Linked DNA regions of Caenorhabditis elegans. The protein of the gene in region 2 interacts with the protein of the main gene of each other region in a pairwise test. Each region holds a gene or a part of one and is shown on either strand. Other genes may lie near its edges. The genes, in order: ceh-22, fkh-6, ham-2 and peb-1.

Region 1 (4,892 bases), on a different chromosome or scaffold from region 2:
CTTTGTTCGTTCGTTCCCTAATCTTAGTAAAAAAGTATAGAGAAGAGGATATTGTGAATCCATTTTGTGTGTGTAGGTGGAGAAACGCACACACAAATCAGCAAGGAACAAGAAGTTGAGCAAAAAAGATTACGGTAAGTGGACAAACAGATAACGCGGCCGTATTTTTGGATCCAAAAGCCAAAATTGTTGATGAGGAAGATTGATGATGCGCAAATTAGGGAGCAGTTTTTGGAAGGTCAAAGAGAAGCCCGTCCGCACGCATCTCCCGCGTACACACCACAAATAAGGTAGTTTACTTTTCGGCGGCATCCCTTTGCGGCTGTACACAATAATCTTGTAGAAGATGATTCTAATACTTGTAATTGGATTAAGGTTAGTTGTGAATACGAGACAGTGATACTGTTCACAAGTTTTCTTTCGGGGAAATGTATATGTATATGAGTGAAGTTATGTTGAAAAATTGTCAAATTAAGTCAAAGAATTCAATGTAAAATTTTTAAGCCAAACTCTCAGTGATATTAATAGTCTTAATGTAGACAAAGCAAGTGATACAGTTACATAGTTAAGCACGACTATATGCGCTTTGTACCTACTCAAAGGGTTACTCAGAAATCGCTAGAACCTATCATAATGAGAGTTTGTTTTTTAAATACGTTAGAGCAAGATAAATTCAAGCCAAGATAATAGATTTGCCTTACAGGCAACTATTTTCTGACTGATTTCCTGAAATGTAAAAATTAATAGAAAAACTATTTAAAGCAAAGTTTTGAGCAAAATCGAATCCTAAAGTTACTGAACTACGTTCAAGCTTTCGGAGCATTAACCTAGAATAAATCCAGTGCGCGAAAGTTTGGGGGATCATTGCGAACACGAAATGAGCATAAATATATTGGGTGCTCATTTGCCGAACCACTTATAGTTCGAGCACTACACTTGATTATTGTTAGCCGAGATGCTCATACCCCAGCAAATAAATAACGTGTGCAAAAAGATAGAATTTGATCTATTATGGAAAGTTATGTATTAAGATATCGACTTTGGTACCTAATCGATTATTGTTATTAATTTGTGAAAGGAGCCTTGATGAGATTTATCTTTAACCATTAATTGCATACAATGACCACTAATTCAAATCTATTCCGCAATTGGGTCCTTGTCTTTATAAAGAATGCCAAAATGTTGTACTGGTTTCAAAAGTAAGTAGGCATAGTTTCAAGTGTAATAAAGTTTTTACATAATCTATATATTTGTCTTGATGGAAATATTTAAGTATCCGATATAAAACTAATTACACTAGTCTCAGAAGATCTTTTTTTTAATAACACAATCTTTACTAGAAATGAATTTCAAAAAAATAGGACTAAATTGTACTTTCCATTCCTCTTCACTCTACTCATCCTCACATCTCCGAGATTTGTCACAAAAGAGATGAAATTGTATACTGAGCTTACAAGAGTGCGCAGAGATATCTAAGCATACAAATCTACCGTACCGTCTTCGCTTTCTCCGCGATTTGTGGGTTGGCGAGCCAGAGGGAGCACAGGTGGGCGTGTTGCAATCAGCACAAGAGGGTCGGTTGTCAATTGCACTCGAGTCTCGAGAGCCGATGTTCAACGTGTCGGCGCTAGCAGCAGCGACGCCTTCTATCGCTTCGGTTTCATCCGTTGCAAGCCCATCGGAGCAACATGGATTGTCTACAAGTGTTGGCGTCGGAGTGAATGATACCACTTCTCGAACTGGAGATGGCGGCGCCGCTTCATCGGCTTCAAGTGCATCAGCGGCGCCACAACAGCAGTCACAATCGGCACTTCATAACAAGTAAGTGTTTTTTGAAGAGAGAAGGTCGGAGAGGAGAGGAGGCTTGTCGTCTTGAAGATGATCCACTTTATGTGAAGAGATCCCCCTCCACTCATATATTCGATTACATCCTCCACTAGTATCTGTTCATTTCAGGACGTTTCATTTCTATATCCACAACTTTTCCATTCGCGTTATTCATTTCTACTCAATTATTTCCAAGAAGTTTTTTGGCGAAAATTCCAAATCGTACGCAGTTTCTTTGAAATTTCCACAAACAAATGATATTTATGAAACAAAAATCTAATGATATTCAAACGAACAATTTAGTTTTACTTGCTTAAAATTATTTCGAATATTACATTTTCAGAAAGCAAAATTTATTCTAGTATTTTTTTATTGTCCTTCACCAATTCAATAATTGAAAAACGTATATTTCTAAACACACAAAATAAGGAAACGATATTGAGATGCGTTGTGTTCAAATTTTCCCCGATTGTTTCCTACAATGAAACGGGATGAAAATATCCTAAGAACTACTATGTATAGCTATGACGTGTTACAATAAGACATTCAAGCCTTTTAGCGTTGCAATTTTATCCGTTATGTTATGTTTTGTTGATTCGTGGTTCTGACTATCTTTAACCTTGAGACAAAATGCAACATCCACTTTCAACCATGTTCTCCCCATTTTCAAAGAAAATTTCCAATATCAGTATTAATAACAGTTGTGCTTAAATTTAAAATGTTTTCTACGAGTATAAAATCAACGAAAAGTTAATAAACCGCACAAAGCGACGTATCTTTTTTTAAAGATGCATTCATTCACCTAGAAAATGGTCAGCTCTCCTCGACCAAGCGCTTATATCAAAGCATTTTGGAAAATGTTTCACAATAAAGTTTTAACTATTTTCGGCAACTTCAAAAGGCGGTGGAGAAGTTATTTGAAACTCTTGAATCGCCGCTTCTCGTACCTTTTTGCAAATCAAAACACCGCATATCTTATATAAAAGCTTGTTTTTTGTCCGACTCCTTCACATTTCACCATGCAAACTTATGCATTTTCCAGACTCGAAGCTAAATGGGACACTCTACTTCCCACCGACACCAATTTACAATGTTCCACGTGGCCTGATAGCATTCCATTACTTGCAGGTAAGTAGATTTGAACTTCTTTTCTCGAATATCCAATAACGAATTGTTGTGTAACATGTAATGCGGGAATAAGTAACACAACACCTTCCCGTGAGAACACTATACAGTATTCGTATGTCTTTTCTGAATATAGGTGATATAGGGATACTGTATACGGTATACTGTCTCATTCTCTTATTTAAATTCGCTATTTCGTGTTTACCTAGAATCGGAAATGAATGGATGCAAGTAAACAGAAAGGGGCTTTTTCTCTGTTCTTGGCGCCGCGACTCTCTATCACGAGTCTTTTTCCTCTTCTACCTTTCTTTATTCTAAAGCCAGACAAATTATTATGCAATTAGCAAGTGAAACAAGGGTTTTCCCAGTTTCAGGATATTCTGCTACTCCCACATTTTCCTTCGATCCTTGCACATACGGCAGCTATGATCCATCTGCATATTTTGCTTCAAACGGAATTGCTGGTAAGTTTTTTCCCTATTAGAAAAATAAATGTTAAACCTACCTAACTGAATTTTGTAGGTTCCATGTACACTCTACCTGATCAATTTCCACGTTCTGAGAATGATATGCTAGATAACAGCAATACATCAAATGGAAACAAAAGCGATAAAGATGGGTGAGTTCATAATTTCAATTTAATTTTGATTCTTATTCCAACGTATATTTTCAGAATCAAACTTGAAGATGAAGATGAAATTCTGGAAGATGAAGAGAATGACGAAGAAGATGATGGAACTGGAAAACGGAAAAAGAGAAAGCGTCGCGTTTTGTTCACAAAAGCACAAACTTATGAACTTGAACGACGATTCCGCTCGCAAAAATATCTGAGCGCGCCTGAACGTGAAGCTCTTGCAATGCAAATTCGACTTACTCCGACTCAAGTAAAAATTTGGTTCCAAAATCATCGGTTAGTATTTTATGAAATTTTGATTTATTTGTGGTTACATAATGACTTTTCTATGTTCAATTATAACTTTTAAAAATTTAGATACAAAACAAAAAAAAGTCATACGGATAAGCCAATAAACGCGGCGCTTCTTACCACAATGCCCAATGCATTTTCAAGTCAATCGACAGCGGCCAGTTTTCCAACAAGAGCGTGAGTTTTATTCAAAATCAATTCATTTTTATATTTTGTGACATGGAGAAAGTTGGTTGATATCAAACAAAATTTAAAATATTAAATTGTACCTGTATATTTACAGAATGCCGATACCAATGCTAGTCCGTGACTCTTCTGCTCGTTCTTCGGACATTTCCTCAACATCTCCATACACGGTAGCATTTGGAAGTGCCAATTCAGGATACCTACCAACACCTTCCGCCTACCTCCCAGCCACTTCCGGGTATTTTTCAAACGGACCTTCAGCAGCTTCTTCCTACATGACCAATACTCAATGGTGGCCTTCTTGATTTCTCTAATACTCTATACCATGTCAATTTTTCCCAGAATACATCTCGTTTCTCACTTTTAATTGCTCATTTCTCATTATTACATATTTTCTCCGAATTGTGATCTACAAATTTATAACAACAAATCAGTTCGGACTACCGGTTTTTGAAATATTTTATCAGTTATGCCCATACACATGTTTTATGTAAATTGTGATAATTTTATTAAATGACTTAAAATTTACGTTGAAACCACATGAAAAATGTATGTTTAACTATGTATAATGCATTTAACAGACCGTCTTCTATGTACATGTTTTACGATTTGGAAGATTTCGTATCGATTACACAATTTCCAAGGAGAAAGTTCACAAAAAATTTTGCAGTTTTGAATAAAGTGGGGAGTACATTTTGATGTATGACATAGAATGTTTTTAACACGTGTGCTTATTGCCAAGTTGCATTTGAACATTTTTGTTCACCCTTCAATTAAACTTTCAACAAATTAGGAAAACGAAAATAAATTATTGATTGAGTGATTTCTT
Region 2 (6,048 bases):
ATCAGATTTTTTAAATTTCTCGCAGAAAAATTTTCTCGAAAAAAATTAATTATTGGTCACAGTTTGATCTCAAAAAATTTGAACTTACTACAAATTTAGACTACAAATTTTTTGGACAAAATTTTACCAAAATTTTGTTCTCAGAGACTTAGATTTTCTTGCCAACTTTTATTTGGTAAATTTTAAATTCCGATTAATATTAGTTTTTGAAATAATAAGTACTATAAACTTAAGTTTATAAATAAAATTGATATCGGTGATTTTTTTTCTTCGAAAAACCCTCCAAATTGAGTAGATCTGCCATTAAAAAAAAACTGAAAAAAAAACACTTTAAAAGTCAAATCACTGTTTTTTTCTTTCAGTAATCTGGCTGCACAAAAAGAAGATCGAGGCTGAATTACAATCCCGCCACGCCGAATCAACCAAATTTTTAAGCAAAATTAAATTAAAAGAGTCAGAAATTTACGGGTTGAAGACAAAACAAGAAACGTGCCAGAAGGAGTTGACGGATTGTCAGGTAAGATTTGAAATTTTTTTAAAACCATAATTCATGTTTTATAGACTTTAAAAGAAGAGCCAAAAGAGCAAAAAAAAGAAAACAATAAAAACGATGAAAATTCGAAGAAAACAATCGAAAAATATGAACAAGAAATTGCGGGTCTCAAAGAGAAAATTGAAGGTTTGGAGGAGAAGGTGAAGAATAATTATTCGGATGAAAATTCTAGCTTGAAGGTAATCTGAAATTAATTACCAAAATATTTCAAAAAATTTATTCCAGGAGGAACTGAAACAGTGCGAAACGAGGATCAGGCAGTTGACAGGGGTAAGTTAAGATGAAGCTGGGAATTGTTGTCCATAACCATAGAGAGATGGGTCATCAAATGATAATCCCGTGAAAGTGGTTGTTGGTTGACAGGACCAATTGGTATAAGGGGGCATGAAGGCGTTTGGGTACATGTTGCTTGCAGTGGAGAGCAGTTGCTGGAATAAGTTTTAGGAGGGTTTTTGATTAGTTATGAAAATTCTAAAATTTAGAAAAAGTGGAGATAGGAGAAAAAGTGGAGATAGCATAATTTTTACCGACTTCAAAATTTCTCCATTAAGCTGCAAGAGTTAAAAAAAAAGTAGCATAAACTTTATTTAAAACATTTTTTGAAAATTTCAACTAACCTGTTGCTCGATACTCCTCGGATCAGTCATCTGAAGACTTGTCAAGAATGTTGTACTTGAAATCCCAGGGATCAATGGCTTCATATCAACTAGAACCTCCTCTTTGACAGTATCCGATGGTACAACTTCTACATCAGACACAACTGGTGGTGGTTGAGATGGAGCCACTAGATTTGTGTCGAAATGAGAAGTTGGAATTGGGAAGGCGCTTGTGTAAATTGAGGTATCAAATGATGACGATGAGGAAGAGGAGTTGTTGATTTGGGAGGTGTTGGCACTATCAGTGATGGAGTTGGGGTATTGGAACTGAAAAATTGAAAGTGTTAGATCTGCACCCCGATTGTGCTCTATTTTGACCGCTTATATCATGGTTGCCTGAAATTTTATCAAATAATTGTCATTATTTAAATGTAGAGAAATATTTTGCCCATATTTTGTCAACTGACAATTTTTGATAACAACAAAGGGAGTCAAGATATAAGCTGTCAAAGTAGACCAAGGCATGGAGTCCACTTTTTGGGCTTTTTTGGTAGGCAGGCACGCCTTCAGGCGTACTTACCTACTTTATATTTTTCTGCCTATGCCTGCCTATGATCTAAAATTTACAAGCAGGCATAGTTGTCTTTGTGAAATATTTGCACAGTTCGCTAATTTCTTTAAGATCTTTTTGAGATTGGCACAGTTTCCTCGGAGTTTTGAGTATTTTCATGAAAGTTTTTTTTGGAAAAACAATTATTAATAAAATTATTTTTAATTGGGAATATAAAGCAACTTTGCTTCATTTTATAAGAGTTGTAACGAAAATTTCACAACTAACTAGTAAGGACTCTGGGGCTAAACGATAAGCTTACTACAGATTCACCAATATTTTTAGTACAATTTCGTAAATTTGTTGCCTGTTCGAATTTTTCATGGGGCGTTAGCGTTCAGATTCCCGAAAATCTTCACTGGGCAATTATTTACCTTAAAAAACTGGAAAGGATCCATAGTTTGAATATTCTGTGGCCACTTCAACCCGTTGAAAAACGGAAGCTGTTGCTGTAGAATGGTCCCTGTTTCAGTAGTTTCCGTCGTATTCGCATAACCCATTTTTCCGATTCCAAGTCTTTTGACACGTCTGTAAATACATGAACAAATAGTCATTTTTCACGAGTGTATAATAATAATAATCCTCTTGTCACTATCCATACCTTCTCTTAAAGTTGCCGTTGTCAAACTGAGGCGCATTGTCCGCCACCATTTGCCAATAGTTGCCCTTTCTGTCGTTCGCGCAGCTTTGTCCGTCTCGTGCTTTTTTGACAAAGCAGTCGTTGAGTGACAGATTGTGTCGAATACTGTTCTGCCATCCCTGTTTTCGTTTCGCGTCCGCGTCACGGTAATATGGGAATTTGGCCTCGATGAACTGAAACACACATCATCGGTTTTGTTTGCGCCTGATAGGAAACTAACATACTTTGAAAGGTTATATCTCGGTTCATAATAAAGATATCAATGAATGATCAACTACAAACCTATAGAAAAATAACCAAAAAATATTTGGCTGGTAGACAATTTTTGTTTAGGACAAACGAGAGCTGAGATATTAACTGTCAAAGTTGAATACTAAGGTTTTTGGGTCTTGACACGAAGAAGGTCTATATATATATATATTGACATTGTTATTGACTTGTAGGAGAGAGGAAAAGTTGTTCACTGTGTAAATGTTATGGGAGAGGCACAGGGTGCCCCCCACACCAAATTAGTCAGATCTATTAAGGTTGATGAGTCAAAACGGAAGAGTGGAAGTGGTGGGTTACGGTAGATGTGCTGGCTAGTGAGTTGGGTTTTCCAGAGTTAGATTGAACTGAACATTACTAGATCACTTGTGACAGGGTTACGGTAGGGCAGGGCTAGGTGGAAAAAAAAAGCAACCAACTGAATATCACAACAAAAATATCAATGTATGAAACTTACTGTACGAAAATGTGATATGGGAAAGATGATGTAGAACCTTAAGAACTTTTTTTCGAATTTCGTTTTTTTTGTAGCAATAAGGAGCAGATTAATTTTACTGCTATATAATCGTGTTAGAAAATCTCCAAAATAACAGATATTTTGAGGCTTTTCTAGTAATTTCAAAACAATTTAAAGTACAAAAAATATAGGGAGAATCTCCGGAGAAGTGACGAATATTTTTCTGGATTTTTAAATGAAGTATATGTCATTACAAGATGATCGCCAAATTTTTCGCTTCAAAGGAGCATTTTGAACTAGAAAATGTTTCATTAAATGGCTCGGCTTGATCAGTTTTATATGACTAAATAGACTCCGATGATTCAAGTTTTCAAATAATTGAAATTTACAAAAAAATCTTTCAAACGTTTGCCTATACCTGAAAAACTTAAAAGAAGATAAAAATCGGATTTGGAACAATTTCAGCAGCCTCGAAGTTAGTGTAAAGTGAGATAAAAATTCTCAGAAAAAAAGTAATTTTTAAAGTTTTGGAATTGAATTTCGTAGATCTATTTTTGCAGGAATAACTGAAAGTTCTAGCACATATTTTAATACTCAATATGACGTCCAAAAAAAACTGGAATATTCCGCTAACATTGTGAAAAATTTGCTCAAAAATTCTTCAAAATTTGAATTGCCGCACCAGTTTTGGGTTTTTAAAATGGTATTTTTCCGCAAAAAAGTATTTAGTTTTAGCAAAATTTTCATGATAATTCCTCCAAAACCGCTATACCAAAAAAACGTTATCGAAAAGCTTCCCGTTACCTTGTAAATCTGATTCAACGTCATTCTCTTATCCGGCGAAGCATCGATTGCCATTGCAATAAGTGCAACGTAACTGTATGGCGGCTTGTCAATCGAATTTCCCTCTTGACTGGAAAGAGCTCTTTTATTTTCAAAACTTTGCCTCTAACAGAATTTTGCAACGGGGATTTTGTATTTAGAGAAGAAGAAAAAGAAAATATGTTTCCCCTCTCTCTCTCCCTCTCTAAAAACAATAATAAATAAATAAAATAAATAAATACATAACTTACACAATATGAAATGGAAGATGTGTTTGATGGCGAGTCATGATTATTGTATTTTTTTATGGTAGGGGGTGTCAAATGAGACAACGGATTATGCAGAAGCTAAGAGTGAGGGCGGGGTCTCGGAACTGTGAAGACGGAGGTGTGGGTGGAGGGAAAGAAATGGAAGAAGATTGTGCACACTGTCTCCTTCTCCCCCCTGTGTGCTCCTGACATTTTCTGGTGCTGATTCACTGGTAAAAGGGAAACAGAAACATCCAATCTGATCATCTCTTACTTTTTATATTTTGTAAATAAACGAAAAATCGAAAGGGAGAACACGACGACGATTGGAGAATATTTGTATTACAACACAAAATTACACACAACTTTTTACAGGGAGGAGCCATCGAGCATTACTCGCAAAATGAGACGGCACATTTCAGCAGGAATCAGAAGGTTTGTGCTTCTTTTTGTTGTACACAGTACTCCCGTTACAGTAATCTGGAATTATTCTGAAAATTTTGCGATTTTTTAATCCTTAACTTGACCATATTTTTTGACTTTCCAGCGACTTTTAGTCACCTTTCATTCATTGTATTTTTTCTACTAGACTTCCAGGCACTTTCCTTTACTTTGACAGCGTATATCTCAGCTCTTTTTGATTTTATCAAAAATTATTAACTGGCAAAGTACTCCCAAAATAATTCTCTACATTTTATTAGTTTATCATTTTTTGTTAAAATCTAAGTGAACCAAGACATAAGTCGTCAAAGTGGAGCAATGTCGGCGCAAGGCTAATAGGGAAAATTGGCAAAATAGTAGATCAAAATGATTTCCAATTTTTTTTTTCAAACTTCTGAAAAACAAATTTGTTTTAAAATTAATGATTATAAACCACAAGTATCGTTTTTTTTTTAATTTAAATTTAATTTCATTAAAAACTGGATTTTTTTAACTTTTTAAATTTCCAGCCACATTTTTGGGCATTGTTTTCTGTAGCCTCGAAAAGTGAATAGAAGTGCCTGGATCGACCAAAATAATTTGAAATATTTGTTTTAATGCTAAAACGGTCAATTCAGACAAAACTAGCCATTTTCCAAAGCATCAGAAAAATTTAGAAACAAATTTAGAAAACTTGAAAATTTTTGATTGCAAAATTTTCGATTTTTTCGAAAAAAAAAAGATTTTTATCAATAATAATTTCCCTCAAGAAAGTGATTTTAAAAATGGTTGTTTAAAATAATTCACCACATAATCAGAATTTCAAATATTCAAACAATTTCCAAAATTGGATATTTTTCATAGATAGTTCTATTTTTTCACACTTTCAATTTTTCTCTGTGTAGTTTCAGAATCACAAGATATTTTCCCATTTGAAACGAAAACATATCACTTTAAATAAATCACCTGAATATTTGCCACTGTTTTGCTTATCTGTCTGACTTTCTCTTATCAACAAATTGTTTCAAACTTTTTGATCAAAGGTCTTGCTTGTTTCTATTTTTACTTACTCCCTGTATTTCTTTTCACATGAGTCTACAAGAGAGAAAAAAGTAGCCGTCATAAGGGTCAACTAACTACTCCATTTTCAGGCTGATGAACCATTGTTCTTCGATCGAGGTAACATTCAACATCACATCCCGCAAAAGTTGTTATTGGGACGAGAATTGGTGCAGACACTGGAAGAGGCAAAAGTGAAAAAGTTGGAGGAGAGAGAACAAATGGACAAGCATCCACAGGATCGCGATAATAAAGGTGACATTTTGACTGGAAATTTATTTTTTTCTTTGGGTTACTGTAGCTGAAAAAATCTGAAATTTGTCGTGGACGTGTTAAAAAAAAATCCCAAAAATAGAAGCTACCAAAAAATATTAAA
Region 3 (7,088 bases), on a different chromosome or scaffold from region 2:
AGTCACAAAAAATTATCTAAATATTAATTCATTTTCGAGAAATATTTTAAGCATCTATTCTGCAATAACATAGATTTGACTATTTTTGGAGTTTTATATGGTTTTAGAATACTTTAAATACACTCCTGAGAAATTTTGAATAACAATTGAAGCCAAACACAAGTTCGTAAGTATTTCATCTAGCAATTTTTCGTTTTGATGTAAGAAAACGAAAGCTGCAAAAAGGGAATCAACTAGTACGAAATTTCTTGAAGCTGAAGTTTTAGACAATCGACTGAGTACATCAGGAAGAAATCAGAAATGAATCATGCTCAACCTTTCACTATGCTGATTGTGACGTCTAGTGGGTCGAAAAGGTAAAAATGAATTTTCACATCGCTTCACCTGAAAGCACATTACCCTCTGAAACGGGTTCAGTTTTGCATTCAAACAAAATGATGTTTTATGCGAGGATAACATCATCTTGTGAGAGTTTCGTTTTTGCTAGTTTTTTGTATGGCTTATTACTTCCTGCATTTTGAACTTTGAAAATTATTTATCACAAATATAATGAAATGAAATCATTGAGGGAAGGAAAAAGTCAAGGCGGGAAAAAAGGGTAATGCTATAAAAGTCAAGAAAAGGACCAGAAGAAATAAAAAAGGAAACATTTAGAACAATGAAGTAATGTAAAGGACGTTCTAGGTAAATCGCTGAGTGCATTTAAGGCTACGTTTTATTGAAGCTATTGCAACAAAAAAGTAAAGTAGATTCGGATTGTTTGGAAAATGTCCACCAGTTTCTAAGATTGCGGTAAATACAATTGTCAGGAATGAGAGCACTCTGATTTTTTTTGGAAGTTTGAAATATTTGGATGCAAAGATAAGAAGTAGCTACGAGAATAGGCATTATGTACAAAGATATAAACGACAATTAGTTTAAAAGCCAACCAAAACCGCTTTAAAAGCTGTTGGTTCTTTGATTCAGAGTATTTCGGAAATTGCTCAAAGGATTGTTGTATTTCAATGGCTCAAAATGCTGATTAGAAACAAGGAATGAAAATGACTACGTGGTTCAACTAGATTTGATGACACCATCAAAATCGGAAATAAAGAAATTGAAATCGTTTGGATCTAGGGAACCACTGAGGGACGGTTCATGTGAATCAAATTGTTCAACAACATTCTCATCGCAGGATTTTGAAATAGATTGTTCGGCCCTGGAGATGGCATAGGCATCATCGGAGGAGGCAGCATCACGGGTGGCATCGGATTCGGTTGAATTTTGCGGAGGAAATCCACTTGAACTTGCAACTCTCTAATGGTCTTTTCATAGGCACGACATTTGTCCTCAACTGCAACAAGCTTCCCTCTGGCTACCTGAAACATCATAAACTTATGTAAATTATTAAAAATATCAGTGGGTGGGGGATAACTCAGTCGGTAGTGGTGGCCGCTGAAGAACTACAGGTCACGAGTTTTTACAGTGCGCGCGCTTCTTGTAGGACACCCCTAAATTTGTGAAGCATTGGAATACATACAATTCTTCAGGAAAATTTTTTGTGATATTTGGAATCGAGTGTGTCAAAAAACCTCGAATCCGTTTTCATAAATTTATCATCACAATTGAAAGCACCCGTTTTGCTATAGGACCCTGAGATTTTAACCAGCTGAAACCTAGCGTGAACTTGAAAGTGGAGCAGTCCATGACTGGATTATCAAACTTAACCTAAAGACTAATCATATCACCAGAAGTACTGTACCTAATTCCCAGATTCTCTTCACATAGCGCTCGCAAAATGGATGGTTTTTTATTTTTTTTTTTCATATTTTAAATTATAATTCAAAACCATTTAAGACAACTTCCTAACCTGACAATCAAAGCATTTCAAACTTTCGCCCGAATGACTAGACGATCCACCACTGATGTGAGAATCCGAAACCGTTGGAGAAGGCTGATCATGGGAAATGTGGATGTTTTTGTCATCAATCGTCATTTTCAATGGTGGTTCGCCCTGAAAATTTTGAAAGTTTCATAATATGACATATTAAAGTTTAATGGGGTGAAAAACAAATTTTCCTCAAAATTTCAATAAGTTTTCCTTACATCATCGCCTTCCACATCAATATCAGCATCGTGTTCCAGTTCTCTTTTGAAAGTTGGTTCAGTCTTGACAATGACTGACCGAGGGCTGACATCACTGCTTTCCACTTCAAATTTGATGTCTTCTTCAGTTGTCTGCACTTCTAAGTCGTCATAATCGCTAATATTAGAAGACTGGATGGAATCCTTAAAATGTAATACATTTGAATTCAAAACATCAAAGAGTTGTAACGTACTTTGGACGGTGTTTGTTGCGCTGCCAGATTAAGGGCCGCCGTGTTGATGGGATTGTTGGCAAGCCACGCTGAGAGGAACTGTGAAGGACCCATGTTAGAAAGATCCAGGGGGAACATCGATTTGGAGTCGGGGCTTTTGAGCAGTGTCGGGAAAATGGATCCAATGTTGTTATTGTTTGCAGCAACTTGTAACATACGCTTTTGCATCAACAAATCAGGCGAGAAGGGTGGAGACTGACGCGGGGAGCCCGACTCGGATGTGCTATCTACAACTGCAAATTTGTATTAATGGATTTCAAAATTTGTGGGTAGATCTTTACCATCTGAACTCTTAGCTAAAACAGCCGCTTCCCCCGGTGTCCCATTTTTCAGCATACTCTGCATATGGATGTGAAGACTTGTTTTGTCGGGAAAAGCCCAATTGCAACACCGACACATAAACATTCGGGTAATGTTGTGTACTCGATACATGTGACTGCGTAGTGTATCGTTGCCTGCAAAATTGTTTCTTAAGGTTTCCTAATGACTGAACAGTGAGAGCAGTGCCGGCTCATTTCGCACTCATTTTATTATGGTAATTATCAAATACTATTTGAACCCTTCTCCAGCTTTTGAATTCATGTCTCAATGATCTAAATATTTGTCGAAAGTAACATGTAAATGGCTATTTGCCAACCCCAACTGCATTGCTATTTCCATATTCCACTTAATTGCCATTCTTTGTGCCACCGAGCCTAACTGTCTATCAATCAAATGAAATTCGCAACATTGGGACACTATACGCGCGCCCGTAAAGGCATGTTAGGTGCCAATGTGACGAATGTTCTACGACGACCCCCCTCATTTGCATGTTTGTCTGAATTTGAAAATACGCACTATAGAAAATCTATAGAATAGCGGATCTTGCCTACCGACAAAGCAGTAACACAAAAAAAAACGACAAACGCAGGGGTCAGGCTGTAAAACATTTTCATGTTATGTTTCGGTATTCTACTGGTTGATCCGCTTATTGTTGGATTGCGCACGAGTAATATAACAAATCCTGTTGATCTGCCTGCTAACATGCCGCCGTATGGATTCCACGTATAGGCGAGCGGTGAAGTAAGGTGTGAAAAAAGCTGGGTGCTTTGGCCGAAAGTTTCTTGAACGACCCCCATGCTCAGCGAACCGTAACAAATGATTGACGGCGAGTGAACAACCAATAAATTGTAATGTTGGAAAGGTGGTAGAAAAAGAAGAGGTTGCAATTTTTGTTGCGGAAGATGGGGAAAGAAGACAATCGGTGGTTTTTTTTTTACTTTGCCCGCGCGCTGGCCCTATTCTTCGCTCTCAAGCTCACTTAGCGACAGTGGCGTGCCAACAATTAGCTGATGGATGGTCATCAAATGACTGACCTTGGAGGTTCATCCTACCTTCCATTCCAAGAAAAGAAACCATTAAGTAATACATACATACCGTCGGTTATTTATGCCTCTCGCTCTCTTAGGAAGCCGCTCGGGATGGAAAGATGGGGCAATTAGACAATGCAAATAGCAGACGTGTTATTGTAAAACTGTGGCGTAATATGGTCAGAGGTGTCTTTTCAAAAGATTCTTGCACAAATATTAGAGTCAATTTGTTATTATTTAATACATGATACTGCTTTCCATTATAGCTGGAGACGCTCCAGTGGGAAATTGAAAAAAAATAACGCCGAATTTGCCAAACGACGCTACAAAAATTTTTTGAAATTTTTAATTTTGTTTTTAAAATTGGTAATTACTTTTTTGAAAGTCGTCGATAAACAGTCGCCTACATATTTTTCAAATATAAATATTCAAACATTGTAGAGATCCGAACATGCGGCATTGCTATAGTTTTCTCGAAAAGTGGCAAGAACACAGTTATTGCCACTTTTTGACTGTCAATAATGTTGGTCATTTTGGCTCTATATAAGTGGATGTTAACCATTTCCCCACTGGCACTACTCCACCTTTAAACTTTTTGCTACTAGTCCAAAAGTGCACATGGTTGTTTTAAAAGCTTAACAGATATTACTAAATAGATACTCCTAATTGACAGTCGGAGCTATCTCGGTATTTGCACACCTCCTCATTCAGTTTGCCATGCCATATAGATGTCTACAATTAAGAATACAGTAGTAGTTGGAAAGGGTGTCAATATTTAGATAACCAATGTAATTTTTTGGCGGAAAGAAGGAGACTGTATCAACCTTGTTTGACACATGCCCAATATAGCCACGTGCTAATCGGAGGGTGTGAGTTGAGTTTAAGCTTGTCAGTAAACAATGCCACTGAGCTTTCGCGCATTTCAGATTATGGAGACTTCCGATCAAATAAATGTATTGGGAGGGAGATTAGAAAAATGTAGAAATGCAATAAACTGGTAGAAGACAGAAACTAAATGCAGCAGGAAATAGAACATTCGTTCAGAATTTTAATTCAATTTTGAAAAAATAAATTAGAAAGTTAAACATCACCTAGAACCCATAATTTTTTATTTTTAGATTTTTAGATCAATTTTAAATTTTCAATAGAATAAGTTCCGTACAATTCAACAATAGCTATGTTCTCGAGTTAAGTTTCCCTCTCTTTTTTCTTATTATCATATGATAAAACATGATACAAAACTGTGAAAACATCAATAGCGGCATAAATTGTTTCGCTCTTTCTCCCCTATTGTTAGTCAAGCTCCTGCTACTCTGATTCATCTATTTCTCTTTTTTTTCTCAAACTTGCATTTTCAAACTTACTTGGAATTTCGTTGTTGCAAGTGGTACAGGTGTAGCTTTTAAAGTGAGCCTGCATCCGGTGACGACTCAGAGACGAACTGTGGCAGAATACTTTTTGGCAAATCGAGCAGGGAAATGAGCCTTTCAAATCGGGACGTTTTAGCTCTGCACGATAGGGCATTGTCTAAAAATGTTTTTGTTATTTGATGAAGCTTTTAGAAAATGGTGCTGAAATTTTCACAAAATCGAATTTGAAAGGAAACACTAACAAGGAAGAAGAAAAAAACGGTGGACAGTTTGAATGAAAGAGCGCTCATAGATGAACAAGTAGGATGGGCTACCAAGACCTCCACTACTTGAAAAGTTTTGCGTACAACACTCGAAAAGGTATTCAGACGCAGCTCTTCTCTCCGGAGACAAGAAGGTCGTCGCCGGCTGACACCAACCAGGTATTTACACCCTCACTTGATACTGTTTAAAAGTAGCGAAAAAGCATACATAGCAGCGATTGGACAATGCATTACAGTAGCTCAAGTATGGCGGGGAAGGTAAGAGTGCTCGAGAGGAGGAAGTGAGAAAATAACAGAACATTCAAAATCGAAATTTGTCACACGGCTTCTGCAATCTTAAAATGAATACTACAGTAATCCGGTGACCTGTGCTCTTGGACTAACAAAATGGCAAGCAGTAGTGCAAGAACGAGCTGAAGGCTATGACTCCCCCCGCCTACCCGATTTTTGGAGGCGGGGCATACCATGCAGAATAGAGATAGTGAGCGACGGGACGCACGGGGTGAGGGGAATGGCATCAAGCACAGTCGGGATAGTAAGTGGCAACAATTTTGGCTAGCAATTGCGAGTTGATTAGCTTTCTCAATTTTGAAAAAAAAAAGTTGGAAGCGAGTCTTAGATAGAAGCACGATGCTCTTAGGAACAGATGTGGGCAAGCTGTTCAAGCTTTTTTTTAGTATAGAACACAAGCGAATAACAGTTGGGAAACTTCTACCAAACACGGCTGACCCAAAAAAAAATAGAATGACGCGAGGGATACACCAAAAAAGCCCTCAAACCATAGACAGCATGATTGCTTGAGTTGAGGATTGCGCGCATCTTCGATTCTCGTGTTCTTTTTTCTTATTGGACGACCACAACAAAACCAGTTTTGTAAAATTGATTCGGGTTGCGCAATGCTAGAATAAACTATCCAACATCGCTATTATATTCGAATTTTTGTCTCTCTCTCGCTCCCGCTCCCCCTCTCTTCTGACTGCCATTCGACCCCATAATCACACAATGCTTTGAGGCCGGTTTTCTCGATCCGCATCAACAAGTTCAACTATCTCTATTCAATGTGCTATTTTAATTGGGCACACACTACCAAAATTTTGAAAATGTTGAGTATGACTGTTGAGTTTCTATCTATCTGTATTATTTTTTTGGGCCTACACACGCCGCAGCAACTACAGTAATTGTAGAGCGGTGACGGATAAGAGTGTGAATCTTACCCCGTTGAGATTCTCGGCACGAACAGGGATTGGCCTTGGCCGTGTGTCCAGGCGCTCGTATAATAAGGATTCACCTCCTCCCGCGTACAGGTCGCGTTCCTTTTCTTGACGGCTACATAATCAGTAGCTATCATAGCACATCTTGCCTTTTCCCGCCAAATGTCTATCTGGTATATATCTCCGAGAGAAAAGAAACAAGAGGCGAGTAAGGTAATGGAGATATAGCGAATGGATAAGAAAACTGTTCCATATACTACATCAAAAGACAGACAGGTGAACGCAAAGTGACAAGAGGTCTAGGTGGGCAAGTAGGAGGAACATATGAGAAAAAAGGGAAATGGAAATGAACATTTTTTAGAAGTTTTCAATTTTAGCAGGACTAACAGGTATTGGAAAGAATGTTTGAAGAACCTAGGAACATACTTTTATGGTCCACATATTTGCATCAATTAGACATTCAAATAGAGAATGCTCCTATTCATATATGTATTAGCATATTACAATTGTTGCGATTTTTAGTTTTTGGACTTAGTGA
Region 4 (7,589 bases), on a different chromosome or scaffold from region 2:
TCTACAAAGGTCGAATCAGGATTTGAAATTCGATGCACTTTACATTGCGTCAGAATTGACCCTTCCGATGACCCAATTCGGAAGAATTCGCAAAAAGTTTGTACCGTCAATTTGAATGGCAGCGACGCAATAGATTTGGGAAAATTGGCGCATCTAGGTTAACGAGTCGGGTGGTATGGCCCAGCCTGTCCCCGCGCGCGCTGCCGCGTGCCTGCCATCCATGGCTTGACCTTGGCAATGCGCGGATCTGTTTGCGAATTATTCGCGGTTCATCAACATGGGAGGGAGGAGGGGGGCAAAATTGCGGCACGCGCATGAGTGGCCGATGTTTCGAACCGTGCCACGCTCAGATTGTTTTATTTGACCTGACCAACATCGCAACTGACCTAGGCACTCGGCGGCGCCACCCAGCGCCGAAAGTAGCGCATCTCGTTGCACTTTTAACTTGTATACACAAACTATTTTTGACACACTCGAAAAGGGCCGACGATCTTTTTTTTCCATCTACTGGTGCCATGAAGTGAATTTTTAAGGGTTACGAAATAAAAAAAAGTTATCTTTTTTGCACGTACACACAATTCCCTTAGACACTCTCAAAAGCTAGAGGTTCCACATGACGTTATGAAATTCGAACTTGAAGGCGCCAAGCCTAGGAACCAATTGGAACAAAAAGAGTCAGCTGGCAAATTCAACCTTATGATATCGGTGCTCTGATCTGGCACTGCGCCAATTGCAAAGGGCACTAGCTCTTAACCTAGACAGTTGTGACTGTGTAATCTCGCCACGTACCTTGATAAATTCGATCTCAGCGACATGGTGTCTTGGAGGGTGATTGTGTGATCCTTTCGTGCATGCGTTTTTATTATCCATGGTTGTTTCAGCTCGGCATTTGCACCACTGCCCATCATGCATTTTCTTAGCGCAAACGCATCTCCAAGACTTGAAGTTACGTTCTGGAGCAATCTGAAAAAAAACAACTCGTGATGAAAGTCACCACTTGAATGATGGTCTATGATACCTGATAAATATTATATCGGTAGCCTTGATACATAAGTTTTTGATATCCTTTGAAAGATGTGACAATTTGTGGAATGTCTGGATTGTATCGGACAAATGAGATCTGAAAAAAAACTATTATTATCGGCCCAAAATCGCCAGTTAAGGCGGTGTTTCCCGGTGTCAGGTTGTTTTGAAATTCGTGTGGGAAGGAAGCCCTAAATTTTCCGTCTGAACAAACACCGGTCAACTATGCAAACGTTCTCTTTCAAAACTATGTTTGCCCTTCGGACAGTCCAAACAGTTATCTCAAAGTACTTACCTTTTTCTTTTCCTTGTCCGGTGATAGTGGCATACTGCTCACGCTAATCGGAGAAATGGCGGAAGTATCAGTGGAAGAAGACGAAATGTCTGATGATCCAGGCTTTTCAAGACCCAGCATTGTCTGAAAAGGAAAATTGATGTGTTAAATCAAATGAGCAAAAAAAAATAGCGATGGGAGCAATAGAATAATAATAACCAAATGACCTCTGATGAATTAGAAATTGAACTCAAACTAGACAGATGATGAAAAAGAGATATGACCAACGAAGAGAGATGTGACAAAAAAAACGAGCGGACCTGCTGTTGGATAGCGAGCGAGGTTCAGACACCTAGAATCAGACGATTTTTTCTCATCTATCTCTCCGCCCCAGGCACTATCAGTTGCTTGGGGCGGACAAATCAGCTGATGGGGCAGTCGAGAGAGGCGCGTGCCATTTGAACTGATAACCTATCGTGGCAGGCACCAACCGGCTGCCAACTAAGACACCGAATACTGTTATTTGGATGAGGTGCGCGAGAACGAGAGTGGCGAAGAGATAGAGGATGAGTGACCGGCAGGAGGCACAACTGACTGTACGGAAATTGGCGAGAAACATGCGTTGAAACGAGATTGACACATTCACTTTTTTTTTTGATTTTGGTAAATTTTGTTGAGGTGGTTGGTCGAAATTTCAAAAACAGACTAAAGAAGGGTTAAAAAGAATACAGAAGTATATGATTATCATTATTTAATTCGGAATTTCTAAAGAAGATAGAACAAAAAGTTGATAGCGGGGCAAAGCAAAATTCTCGGAAAAGAAATACAGTAACCAGTTTCGATGGCACACATTCCGCAACATGCGGCGACTTTTATCGAGTAATGGTGTTTTGACTTCGTTGACCCACAATTCCTTCCATCTATCTTCCGCCAGCCTGATCATAATACTTTTTTGACCGCTTTTCCATCCATGGAATACTGCGAGGAAGTGGCGCGAGAAAGTAAAGGCATGAGGTATAACGAGTACCGTTCCAAGTTTCACTTTTTGTTTTTGTGGCGGGCGAGGGGGTCATCGTCGAAGAGAAAGTTCGAGTAAAAGTGACCAAAAATGAAGCAAGTTTTGCAAATAGGCACCAGAAAGGGGGTCTCCAAAAAGTTATTATATCCGGGCCAATGGAAAGTGTGGGATGCCAGGACGATTACCGAAAAAAGGGCCGCGCCGTCGCCGCCCGCATGACCTAGCGCGGAAGACACGGATTGACACCGGATTGATGGATTCGGGAGAGAAAAAAAAAACCACAAAATTAGGTAATTGAGGGCGAAGATTTTGATAAGAAAGGCGGAAGCCAACGGCTTGACCCAATCGCGTGGCACTAGTCCGCATAACCTTGATGGAAACTATTACTGTTGCAACATCGGCAAAGTGCAAGGTCCTATTGGACATCGGCGCAAGACGGCGTCAGCACTTCTCGCGTACGATTCGCCATTTATGGCGGTCAGAATTCAAGTGTCTAGTAATCAGTGGCCGACAGAACAAACATTTTTCTTATCAGTATGTATATGCTTGGTTCAGCGAAAAATTGCATAATACCGATCCTGGAACGGTCGAGCACCACTGGACAACAAAAATATTTGTTTGGCATGCTTACATGCTGATAATACCTATTTCAAGATGATGGGAATTGTATAGAAGCCGAAGGTGAAAACATATCAAACGTTAAAATTAGGAAGGTAATCGTAACAAGACTAGTAGTAAGGTAGAAATACAGTAAGCGTGAATCTAGAGAATCGCAGTCTGAAGTTTCACACCTTCCGCTATCCATATTCTACTGGTAGTCTAAAATTCCGATGGCGGCGTCGGGTGGAAGTGAGAGGGGGGGGGGGGGGGCGGTTCAGTAAGGAACGGGGTCAGGCTGCCTGCCACGAAGAACCGCGAGGGAGAAGGCCTTTGCCTCCTCCATCTCCTCCTACTTCTACATCCACAACATCTTCTTCATTTCAATCGGCCGCCTCCCCCCTAAATGAACAGCCAACCCCGCCAAAACATCCGCGATCCGATGGTGTGAGGCACGCGCGCGCATACGCCGTGCCCTGAACCATTAGTAGTGGATGATGATGGTGATGAGGAACGAAAATGAAAGAAGCGTCTAACGAATGCAAAAAAGATCACAAGGGGCAAAGAGGTGAAAGGCGTGTGTACATAAAAACAACTCTCGAAATCCGCCTTGTCCGACATCCAAGTATGGTAACTGCGTCGGCAGCAGCAATTTGGCGCCAGTCGCCGATCCACTCTCACTTGGACGTTTTGCCCCCAATATGGAAGGTTTTTTCATCTAATTATTTGACCGGATGTCAATTTCTATGTCTATCACGAAACGTTTAAAGGCAGATTCGTCAATTTGAAAAGATCTGGAAAAAAAACATTGCTGGAGCAAAATTACAAGTCTGGAGTCGGCTTTTCGTTTCCAATTAGTCAAAAAACACACACATACACATACGCCACCATCTGGGGTTGTCAGGAAAGGTGATGGATGGACATCTCTATGGCAATCGGGAGAGGGCCTAGAACAAAGGGGTGCCAGTCTCGGATCGGTCAGATGAAATCGTTTCTCTCCTACAAATTTTTCGAAATTTTGCAATCGTCAATGATTAGTTCGATATCCAGAAAATTGGTATAGATGATATCACATATTTACTACGGGATCCATGAATGCCCTTCATTTTCACGTCGCGCCCCCCCCCCCCCCCCCCCCATTCTCGAAGAAGTCTTAGAAGCTGCAAAAGCTCGTAGTCAATCTTGTCCAGGATGAGTGAAAGGCGATTTTACTTTCTATAGCTGAACCTTGATTTGGAGAAAGTGAAGAAGGGGCAGCTAGGAGAAAAGAAGAAGAGTGGGCATTTACGCCAAGAAAAAAACTGAACACGCAAGACTGGTCACTTCATGAAACAACATCTAGCGCTTCTAAAAACTGAAGTGGTCTAGAAAATTAGGAGAAAAATTGTGAAATGGAACAATGAACGCGCCAAGGCAAAACGAGTAAAGTGCGTTACTGGTGCTCCACCCTTCCTGCCTCAGAGATTGACCCCCTGTTCGAAAATTCAAACATGAAATAGTGTAAAAGAGAAATGATACACAATTGATAGCTCTAGTACAGGGAACAAGGTTAGAAAGGTCATTAGTCAACTATGGAGTGCTTCCAGTTGCCACCACTGACAGTAGAAGTGTGGAAAGTATGTGTGCGAGAGCCCGGCGTGAGCCAAAATGGAAATGGGCGGTCCGAACGGTTTCGACAGTGGAGGAAGTGGGAGCCATCCGAGTTGTGACAACCACGGTGGCGGGTGCCCGGCCGGAAGGAAGCACACATCAAGAGTACAGTACGAAAGGCCTTTCCGCAAAGGGGGGGGGGGGCAAACGGCAAACAATGACCCTTCGGGGCGTGTATATATTGTGCTTCGCATCAGTTTGGCCACGTCTCGCGCAGTACAGAGAGTGGCACGTAACGCCACTGACCAGCCAAGTGCAAACTTGTAGACAGGCATCGCAGCGCCGAGGCACTCCTCCAACCTAGTACTATATTTGCAAATGTTGGTTCTCTCTGCCTTCATCTACTTAATCTTTCTCTCGAAACTGTTCCCTCGAAACCGCGCACTTTATATTACTGGGTGGTTTTAGATGTTGCCCTTTTCTTCCGCGTAAAGTCATAAAGAGGAAGACGTCAGAAACTATGAGCCACAGAACGAAAAATACTGCTAGTTTTATATCAAAACTTTTCGGAGAAGGCAAGCAAGCGTCGACGGTCAGAAAAAAAATATAACGACGAGGGCGAGCTGCAAGTATCACTAAAAGTGAAAACGATTGGCAAGCGGACAATAAACATGCGGTTACGCAACAAAACTTTCGCGCATTGGTCATGCCCCGGCGCCTAGCACTGTCCGGGCTCGTGTGCAAAGGTCGCTGACTCATCTGGCGCGGCCCATTGAAGTCGAGCAGGGGCAAAATGGTACTGTCAACTGATATGTTGGTTTTTTAATCAAAGAGCTGATTGGCAATGGTACAAGCCAGCACTACTTTCCGCCCGTAAAGGAGAAACATAGAGAGCTTTTTGGTTGCAAAATGTAGAATGTTAAAATTATACAAAAGATAAAAACGCATATGAATACTGATAATTAACTGAAACTGTGAACCATTGATAAGTAAATGTGTACCTATCAATTACAATTTACTCCAACATTTCCCCGATTAGAAAACTAAAATGTGAGAACACAACAAAAAAAACTACATTAATTTTAAAAACCGCTCGTCTCCAAAATTTCTTGACATCTCCCAGAAAATAAAAATGGAATGATAGATACCAAGTCAATTTAATTCATATTCCCCCCCGTAGCCATATTTGGCAGGCAGAAACAAACGACGACACGTCACTGAAACGAACGGGGTGAATAGGAGAACAAACCGAGAAACAGAGAAGCACACGAGAGGGGGGGGGGGGGGGGTTTATGGATCTCAAGAAAATGCATGATGTTAAAGTTTTGATCATCACATCGTATTCTGACAAATAGATAGAGGGTAACTCAGCACAAACCCCTTGGCTCACGCAAAGGACAAGAAAACAGTTGTGCAAACTCAAACCACCGACTGAAAACGCCTGTCGCTGAACAAATCTAACTGGTCACTCACCTGGTCAAGCCGCCAGCAATTTTTTTGAACTGTTGTTGTCATCATCAGCCCCAGTTTGGAATATCCAGAATGCTTCCTTTTCTCGGTGTTTACTCGTTTCGTTGCCCTGGAATAAAGTACACATTTATATTGATCATAACAGGGCACAAACTGAGCAGGGTGCCTTTCACGAAGAGCTTGAAATGACCTTTTAACACACACACATACACACATCATGGTACGAAATACATCTGGGAAAAGGGTGATGGTTGTAAGAATAAACTAATAAAATAATGAGCAATTGGAGTTGCACTATGTGTGTCAAACTGGAATTGGAAATTGGAAAAATCTCAGTTTTTGTTCGAGGCATAAACTCTAAAAATTTCCACTTTTTGACTGTCAGTAAAAAAAACATTTCAAACGATTTTTTTTGACTTTTTAAAAGTTTTAATACAAAATTTGATTATTTTGGTATCATATATGTAGCACTGCTCCACTTTTGAAAAATCGTTTTCTAATTGGTTACAGTGCTTTTCAGAAAATTATACAATGGTTTGCAACCTGTGGTGTGGTGTGTGTGTGTGTGGGTGTGTGAAAAAGGAATTAAATACAAGAAAGAGATGAGTTGGATGCAATAGATGGGTATATGGTGACGACGTCTTCGCCGGACGCAGATTGTTGTTGTTTGTGGCAGTTCCGCGCGGATCAAACAAATAGTATGTCAGCGTGTAGATGCGCAGGCAGATACAAAACGCGGCGTGCGGGCACTAAAGTTCGTGACCTGTGATGGGTCGCGGCAAATTCGGAATAGACCGGGGGGAATGAGGGAGAGGCGGAAAACCAAAAACGGCGAGACACAAACTAAGGCTCAAATAAATGACGAGTCGAGCGAAATACGTGATTAAACTTTTCCAATACAGTCTCAGCGTATTTTTTTTTCGGGCCAGCGCCACCCTCCACGCTCGTGAGACACTTCTATACTACTTTATGAATCCGGCAAACTTTTGGATGCGTGAGTGTGCCGCTCATCATACGCCCACATTTGTGAGATTGGAAAATAAAAGTGCAAAAAACCTGAAGTAATATGCCTTTTTCTTGGTTGCTTACATCAACTGGAAATCACATTTTAAAATTGATGAGTTCAGTGGGGTCCCTTGTGTAAATATCAATTACTAAAATATTGGCACTTTCAGTGATGTCTTCAAAAAGCAATGATTTGATTAACTTCTCGACCTAATGCGATATCTGAAAAAGTTCACAAGCAATTCTTATCTTGATTTAACTGATGGTCTATCCGTCTTTGTTGTCGCTTGTCAGTACCACTTGCCGTGCCGATTCGGTGCCGTCCAGTGTTTCGCATCCAATTGGCCAACGAAAGGTCATTCATCCGACTGAACTAAATTATGGCATGGCAGAATGACAGTGTTCAGGGGTAGAGTTTTTTGAAATTTGCAACTATCTGCATAGATCACATCAATTTATTTTCAAAGTGTGACTGTTCGGCCTGTGCATTATTTAAAAAATTTTCACATGTTCATCCAAAAATCTCCAGTGCAGTCCCAAAACCGATGGAAATCTAGAGAAAAAAACCCGGAGCAAGTGATTTGTATAATCGAGATATAATCTCAGTTGTCT

Evidence for each region.
Region 1: the proteins of fkh-6 (region 2) and ceh-22 interact in a two-hybrid assay, tested with the Caenorhabditis elegans proteins (one large-scale study listed by BioGRID).
Region 3: the proteins of fkh-6 (region 2) and ham-2 interact in a two-hybrid assay, tested with the Caenorhabditis elegans proteins (one large-scale study listed by BioGRID).
Region 4: the proteins of fkh-6 (region 2) and peb-1 interact in a two-hybrid assay, tested with the Caenorhabditis elegans proteins (one large-scale study listed by BioGRID).

What each region holds. Positions count from the first base shown.
Region 1 is NC_003283.11:10,671,025-10,675,916, forward strand, and holds ceh-22 (Homeobox domain-containing protein), read left to right. Parts: upstream 1-1,609; coding exon 1,610-1,821; exon of another isoform or gene 1,822-1,899; intron 1,900-1,956; coding exon 1,957-2,049; intron 2,050-2,846; coding exon of another isoform or gene 2,847-2,869; coding exon 2,870-2,955; intron 2,956-3,207; exon of another isoform or gene 3,208-3,286; coding exon of another isoform or gene 3,287-3,320; coding exon 3,321-3,416; intron 3,417-3,474; coding exon 3,475-3,571; intron 3,572-3,625; coding exon 3,626-3,862; intron 3,863-3,943; coding exon 3,944-4,054; intron 4,055-4,160; coding exon 4,161-4,368; downstream 4,369-4,892. UniProt on the Caenorhabditis elegans protein: Involved in combinatorial activation of gene expression in pharyngeal muscle. Specifically binds a site necessary for activity of the B subelement of myo-2 enhancer.
Region 2 is NC_003280.10:4,379,055-4,385,102, forward strand, and holds fkh-6 (Forkhead transcription factor fkh-6), read right to left. Parts: upstream 4,353-6,048; 5' UTR 4,235-4,352; coding exon 4,197-4,234; intron 4,037-4,196; coding exon 3,928-4,036; intron 2,573-3,927; coding exon 2,361-2,572; intron 2,288-2,360; coding exon 2,134-2,287; intron 1,477-2,133; coding exon 1,171-1,476; intron 982-1,170; coding exon 829-981; 3' UTR 824-828; coding exon of another isoform or gene 779-823; 3' UTR 733-778; coding exon of another isoform or gene 562-732; 3' UTR 531-561; downstream 1-530. Other genes in the region: B0286.1 (uncharacterized protein), read left to right, coding at 363-517, 562-732, 779-823, 4,569-4,628, 5,765-5,927. UniProt on the Caenorhabditis elegans protein: Probable transcription factor. Binds to the DNA sequence motif 5'-[TA]TGTT[TG]T[TG][ATG]TT-3'.
Region 3 is NC_003284.9:4,552,836-4,559,923, reverse strand, and holds ham-2 (Zinc finger protein ham-2), read right to left. Parts: upstream 5,240-7,088; 5' UTR 5,231-5,239; coding exon 5,071-5,230; intron 4,426-5,070; exon of another isoform or gene 4,282-4,425; intron 3,992-4,281; exon of another isoform or gene 3,550-3,991; intron 3,182-3,549; exon of another isoform or gene 3,043-3,181; intron 2,813-3,042; coding exon 2,639-2,812; intron 2,591-2,638; coding exon 2,319-2,590; intron 2,269-2,318; coding exon 2,086-2,268; intron 1,994-2,085; coding exon 1,850-1,993; intron 1,359-1,849; coding exon 1,113-1,358; 3' UTR 516-1,112; downstream 1-515. UniProt on the Caenorhabditis elegans protein: Probable transcription factor that acts downstream of egl-15, to promote migration of the HSN motor neurons from the tail to the gonad primordium during HSN cell differentiation.
Region 4 is NC_003284.9:2,209,482-2,217,070, reverse strand, and holds the start of peb-1 (FLYWCH-type zinc finger-containing protein peb-1), read right to left. Parts: upstream 6,021-7,589; coding exon 5,976-6,020; intron 4,830-5,975; exon of another isoform or gene 4,539-4,829; intron 3,614-4,538; exon of another isoform or gene 3,491-3,613; intron 3,436-3,490; exon of another isoform or gene 3,054-3,435; intron 2,837-3,053; exon of another isoform or gene 2,489-2,836; intron 2,266-2,488; exon of another isoform or gene 2,080-2,265; intron 1,842-2,079; exon of another isoform or gene 1,625-1,841; intron 1,442-1,624; coding exon 1,319-1,441; intron 1,252-1,318; exon of another isoform or gene 1,130-1,251; intron 1,121-1,129; coding exon 1,019-1,120; intron 964-1,018; coding exon 790-963; intron 433-789; exon of another isoform or gene 170-432; intron 1-169. UniProt on the Caenorhabditis elegans protein: Putative transcription factor. Binds to specific sequence motif 5'-[TC][AGT]TGCC[GA][AT]-3' in regulatory elements of target genes such as myosin myo-2. May modulate gene expression, perhaps acting in opposition to transcription factor pha-4.